Linked DNA regions of Callithrix jacchus. The protein of the gene in region 1 interacts with the protein of each later gene in a pairwise test. Links are inferred from orthologs where the notes say so. Each region holds a gene or a part of one and is shown on either strand. Other genes may lie near its edges.

Region 1 (3,279 bases):
TCCTGTATATATCTGTCTATATGTAATTCCAATGTCCTATATGTATATATGTCTCTGTCTCTCTCTCTCTCTTTCTTTTTACTACTTTTCATTTGTGTTGACTAGTTTTCTTTTATGTCAGATTGCTTTTTATAGGGTGTTTAACACTGTATCTTAAAATCTTTGCAGAATTAATTCGAAGTGTTTTTTCATTTGCCTCTGTTCTCACCACAGAGTCTGTTCACCCAATGGTGTGAATGGTACCGACTGCTGAGTATAATCACTTAACTGTTTTACTTCTACTAGGCCAAGTACAGTGAATGTATTAACAAACAATCGGCCAAATGTATTTTCTACTTTTTTATAGAACTTGTTTGTCTTGAGTTTTCTTTTGCTGTTTTAAACATATGGCTAGAGGACTCTTTCTATAATCACAAGCGTGGGCCCAAGTTAACGTTTTGTTTGATATGTTAGTACTCTGTGGTTTTCTTGGTGGCATTTATTTAATCCAGCCCCAAAACACTTAGATGTCAAGGAAAAATTTTTAAAAATAATGCTGATCAGCGTTCTCCCTGAGGTATAAACTAAGTAGTTAATCCTAGTCTTAGTCATCTCTAGAGCAAAGGTTTCTCAGTCTTCCAACCTCAGCGTCAAGAAGAAGAGATAGATACCCAAGACAAAGAGCGCCAAGTCATAGCTTTTGCACTGAGGTGCAGTGATCCTCTTTGAGCTTGACTAATTAACACTGCTCCTTCAGGATTTTGAAGACCAAATTGAATAGGACAGTGCTTCCATTTACCAATGTTGATTACCATAACTGTCAAGCATTGTATTGTGATATAATTCTGCTTTCAGGATAAATTAAAATAAACAAGAGTTGTTTGCCCTTCCTTTAAATGACCTGATTTAAAGGCATCTATGATTCTTTTTTTTAGTTCTTGATTCCTTTCAGCATTAATACTTCTGCTTGGTCTACTCACTAAGTATATTCAATAATAGTTTCACTGAGCTGTTGCTTGATTTGATAAAGAAACATCTAAGTAATAGGTTGAAAGATATATAAAGAACTTTTAATAGAATATTAAATGATTTTTCTTCTTTGCCAGGATCTTTTTTAAGTTTATGCAACTAGTCTTATTTCTTGAATAAAAAAATTGTGTCATTTTTCTGCCTTAAGAATGGAGACTATTCATTTAACCACTTGAGATTAAAAACAATTTAGATTTAAACCCCTTTTTCCAATAATATAAACACTTCGGAACTCTTTTCACCAATATCCTTACTAATTTATTTGAGTGCCATGTGGACAGTATTCCTTAACATTTGTTCTAATTACATCATTGTATTCTATTTTAACAGATTTCAGATCAGAACCACAGCTACCCAAGAAAACTCATCTCTCAATTGTGTATGGATTCATGTGTCAATCATTTATGATCAATTGTGTAGTGTGCCCTCATATAGTATTTGTGAGAAGAAGTTTGCAATGTAAGGGATAGGGTAGAGGAGGAGGGAAGAAATACGTGAGCTAGTAAGGAGGACAGAAAACAGAACAGAAAAGAGTAACAGCAGAAGTCAAAATAAATGCAGAAAATGTTCAGAGAGCTTGGCAAACTGTAATCGTACCCAAGAAATTGAAAGGGGAGGCTGTGGTTTCTGTATTTGTTGACCTACACATAGGCCAGTATTATTGTTCTAGTTAGTAGATCTCTAGACATGGAGTCAGGGCAGTCAAGCTTGAATTTCTTTTCTTTTCTTTCTTTTTTTTTTTTTTTTTTTTTTTTGATAGAATCTCACTTTGTTACTCAGGCTGGAGTGCAATGGCGCGATCTTGGTTCACTGCAGCCATCTCCTCACCTCAGCTCCCCCGAGGTAGCTGGGACTACAGGTGCATGTCACCATGCCTGGCTAACTTTTGGTATTTTTTGTAGAGACTGGGTTTTGCCATGTTGACCAGGCTAGTCTCCAACCCCTGGGCTCAAGTGATTGCCTGCCTTGGCCTTCCAAAGTGCCGGGATTACAGATGTAAGCCATCACGCCTTGCCCCAAGCCTGAAGTTTCATTTTGCCATTGACTTGGTATTTACCTGGGATAAACCATAAGATAATCTTAATTCCCGGCTCTATTAGAGTTGTTTTTGTACTCAAATATGCCATTGAAGTGCATGGTTTGTTGCCACAATTTGTCCCTTAACTTCTAGCAGTATGGAAACTGCTCTCAAAGGAAAGTTTTCTGCTTTTTAAACGCTAGCAACCAAAAAATACACAAAGTCTGTTGATGAATATAAAAAAGTAATCAATCTAATTGGAACAAGCATTAACATTTTGTAATATGAAACATGCTTTATTAGTTTCCTGATGTACTGTTTTATAATTTTTATCATTTTTTTCAGTAACTACTGCAAAAAGGTATTATTGGAATGAAACTATATTTCCTCATGTGCTGATTTGTCTCTTTTCTTTTTTTTCATACTTTCCCACTGGTGCTATTTTTATTTCCAGTGGATATTTCTATATTACTGGGGAGGCATTTGCAGCCCTCTAATGTCAATTAATATGTGAAAAGAAATTGTACAAATTTCACTAAATTATTCACTTTAAAATGGCTGATTTTATGTTATGTGGATTTCATCTCAATAAAAAAAGAAAACTCTTATCAAAAAACCCCTAGCCTCTAAATTATGTGCCCATGTGTCACAATCACTATCACGATTTGCCTTCTCCCCAAAAAATGAATTTGGTGTGGGTGGAGGGAATATTTATAGTAGATATTTTGATATTAAAGCATTAATTAGAGTTCTTAAAAATTTTTTAAATCTAAGAGAAGATGAAGATTTTTGTGAGGTTTACTACTGTTTAATATGCAAATTTATATTGTCATTATTTAAAAATATGTAGAAAGGGATGAGACAGATAGGTGCAGCAAGCCAGCATGGCACACGTATACCCATGTAACAAACCTGCACATTCTGCATGTATATCTCAGAACTTAAAGTAAAATAAAAAAAATAGTTGTACTATATAATAAACATAAGAAAAAGAAAGGGAAAAAATGACATAAGAAAAAACTTTCAATGTCAAAAACCACAATAACTTTTGCACCAGCTTCATACTATCTTTCTTGTATATATCTGCCTTTCTCCATAGAATATAGTCTCTAAAAGAACAGACAGCTTTGGTGTACATGGGTGTACACAACAGTCTGTGACTAGTACTTGCCATATAGCCAATAGTCAAAAATATTCTTGTTATTGTTGAAAAAAACAAATTTTAAGGAAAAGTAGTATAAATGTTAATGTAT
Region 2 (3,657 bases), on another chromosome or scaffold:
TCAATGGTAAAGCGTGTGAGTCAGACATCCCAGGAGAGTGCTGCTGCACACTAGAGTTCTAGGCATTCTCTGAAAGACAACCACTAATCTAGGGCCCGGAGATACATAAGATGAGGGGTAGGAAGTGTTCAAAAGCACTTGCCATGCCTCCTTTTCACATGCTTTCACAACTTAAACACGATCATGGGAGGGTGAAGTCATATTCAATCACATGTAACAGGATGAACAGACAGGTAAGCAGGTGACTTTTCTTTGCTCGATGACACCACCATGTTAACAACAGGCTAATGGACACCGTGGTGTCAATGATCAAGGCCCATGCACTGGAATGCAGAGTGAAAGCCTTGCTGACAGGCCATTAACAAGCAGAAAACTTCAGACACCCATCGGCAAGTTCCATAATATAAACATGTATCTTCATTCGGAAAGACAGACTTAATGCTGTAGCTACTGGAATCAAGGGCAAGCTGTTCAGAAGAGAGCCATCTGCTGTGTTCTGCTTATGACAAGAGCCATCCCAGGCTCTAAGAAGCACAGGGACAAGTCAGGGATGACACGGGGGTGGCGGGGGTGCATAGTGTGCCACAGAGCCAGCAAACCAGTCCCCCGGCTGCCTTGGCAACATTAGTGGATCATAAGTCCCTCGGGAAGCTGGAATATAATTTAACTGATTTCTCCTTTTCGCTTCTTCTGGTAAGTAATAATATGTGCAATATACACAATTTTTACCAAATACAAAAATGTTAAGAAGAAAAATATCCATCCTGCATCCCTAAAGATAAGCACTGTTTACATTCCTCAGCATTTCCTTAATCTGCTTCCTGTGCGTTTGCTGTATGGTTAACATCAGCTAACAGCTACTCAGAAGGTCAGCCGGTGCCCTATAATGCTAACAGTGTAGCTGTCATTGAAACAAGAATTTTGTAAATGTCACTGAATATTCAGCCCCTCTGGAAAAAAAGAAAAGCTTACACTAAAAAATAATAACCTGGTTTCATTCCAACACATATATCTCACTGTAATCTTACTCTTTCACTATAAGCAGTCTTTAATCCATGGAATGAGCTTCCTCGGGTCAAATACAGAAAAACGGTCTGAAACAAAACATCTCTGAGAAAGGAGAAGGGCCTTCAAAACTACCTTTACAGACCTTGGCTGGCGCTTCCAACTGTGCAAATATTGCTATAATGTGAATCAACCTGCAGTTCCTATGGGTCAAACATTTACTTAGTGTCTATTATGTGCCAGCACCATTACCGTGAAGCTAATAAAGATGAAACATGGTCCCTGCCCTTTGAAGCCTCAAGATCTAGAAGGGAAGACAGATATACACAGAGGTAACTAATTCAAGGCAGTCTGTGATCTGTAAAAGAGGGACTCAAAGGAAAATGGGAGAAAGATTAATTCTATGAAGTAGCATTTATGCCACTGAATTTTAAACTGATAAACTGCTAAAAATAATGTAATCTGATTAAAAAAAGTGACAATCTGGAGAAAACAGGGGGCACTGGAACACCTGTCAATTAGCTGTCTGATATAAACACAATCTATGTATCTGTGGAATATATATTACACTGCAATATATCAGGAGGCATTTTTGCTAAGTGAAGATTTAAGCAAATAAATTTTTCCTAGAGATAATGAGCCCTGTAACCCACCCGTGTCCTGAATTCCACCAAAACACGGATCTCACTTACCTGTCACAGTGAGAGCTGCCTCTTGAACTACTCTGTCCTGATTCATGTTGTGCATCCAAAAGAATCTTCTCCATGTCTCCATTGTGAATGGAGGATGAGGAAGGCACATGTTCTAGCCCCCCATTTTTCCCATTGCCATTATCATTGCCATTGCTGCTATTCATGGGTAGCTCCACCCAGGAACCTGTTGGACAAGTCAGATAAGTTAACCACAGCAGAACTGAAATCTGTCATGTGCACACAGATGTGAATATGGTGAATCCAGATAAGAATTCTGACTCTCCTCAAACGAAATGCAAAAGTATTCTGAAGAAAAGAAAGAGTAATAAAAGTCTAAACATCTATTAAGTTCTGTTCCTGAAATAGCTCATGCCATCAGCTGAGAAGAAACGGGAACTCTAAAACATCTTGGAAAATGTGTTTTTCAGCCAATTTTCTCTTTTGTTAAACCTTAGTTTATAATAACACTTTACTGAAAACTCTGAGGTTGCTTTTAAAAAAAAAATAGCTACTTTTTTACTAGACAGGCTACTTACCTTTAATATTTCAGCTGGTGTATAGATATACGCACAGAGAGACACTTTCTTCATAGTCTACCTAAGCTACTCAGCTTTATCTGATTCGTAAATGAAACAGTAAGTATTATCAATTAGAAATTTCATAAAAGGTTATCTAAGTAAGTTAGCAACTATATCCTCCTTAGTGCAAACAACGGAGAAACTCCTAGAGAGGGAACTTAAATCCAGTAGCAAACATTTCAATTTGTGCACAAATCAGGAGCATAAAATTAAGGCAGCTGGTTAACAAAACCAGGTGATAATGCGAAAAATTCAGAAAAAAGCTTTAGCTCTATCTCACTGATTCGTTTCTTCATTTCCTTTATATCACTGCTAGAAGTCTTTCTCCTTTTTTATACACTAAACATACCTTGTGAACTTGTCTTTTTTCTCTTCTCTCCCACGAGTTCCTACTTTCTAGAGTTTTCGTTAAGCCCTGTTGATTTGGGGGCAGAAACAACTGCACATTAGCTACACGCAAACACGAATGTTTTCTTGGGCAAAAAGTTGAAGGGGTGGAGCCACAGAAAAAGGGGATGTGGCACTGGTAATTCTGCATAGGTCTTGAAAATATTGGCCCAGTAAGTCTGCTAAAAGTATTAAGGTGTTTTAATTTTAATAAGAGTTGAGGCCAGGGACAGTGGTTCACACAGGTAATCCCAGCACTCTGGGAGGCTAAGGCACCAGGATTGCTCAAGTGCGGGAGTTTTACACCAGCCTTGGCAACATGGCAAGACCTTGTCTCTACAAAAGAACAGTAAGAAAATAAGTAAAAGAATTGAAATAATTGTTAACAGTAGCCAATAAAGTAACTTCACAGCAAAAAGAGATAGTGGTATATTTTGTTAATCTTTTCCTTTTTTTTTTTTTTTTTTGAGACGGAGTCTGGCTCTGTAGCCCAGGCTAGAGTGCAGTGGTGCGATCTCCGCTCACTGCAATCTCTGCCTCTGAGTCTTCGTTCAAGCAATTCTCCTGACCTCAGCCCCACAAGTAGCTGGGATGACAGGCATGCACCACGATGTCTAGCTAATTTTTGTATTTTTAGTAGAGATGGGCTTTCACCATGTTGACCAGGCTGATCTTGAACTCCTGACCTCATGTTCTGCTCACCTTGGCTTCCCAAAATGCTGGGATTACAGGCGTGAGCCACCGTGCCCAGCCTCCATTGCTTATGATAAATTTTGTTTTAGAAAATGTAACCAAGCAGCTTGGTGGGGCCACCTCTCTAAACTCCCAGCAGAAGCATTAGAAAGAGTTCCAGGGATAAATAAGGATTTCTGTCAGTAAGATGAAGCAATCATCAAAACTGGCTCAAACTCCAAAACGCACGCTAAATGTGGTGATGGCTACACCAGATCCCGAATGAACTCAACATCGCCCTCACAAGAAGGAAAGCTCGCAGG

Evidence for each region. The genes of interacting proteins can lie anywhere in the genome.
Region 2: the proteins of CLEC7A (region 1) and BNIP3L interact in binary tests that used the Homo sapiens proteins (3 or more experiments, as listed by UniProt). The two-hybrid records come from large-scale screens. The link is inferred for Callithrix jacchus from reciprocal best matches to the Homo sapiens genes CLEC7A and BNIP3L.

Annotation. Positions count from the first base shown.
Region 1 is NC_133510.1:12,875,899-12,879,177, forward strand, and holds the end of CLEC7A (C-type lectin domain family 7 member A), read left to right. Parts: intron 1-1,338; coding exon 1,339-1,471; 3' UTR 1,472-2,642; downstream 2,643-3,279.
Region 2 is NC_133514.1:15,168,877-15,172,533, forward strand, and holds part of BNIP3L (BCL2/adenovirus E1B 19 kDa protein-interacting protein 3-like), read right to left. Parts: intron 2,691-3,657; exon of another isoform or gene 2,625-2,690; intron 1,882-2,624; coding exon 1,698-1,881; intron 1-1,697.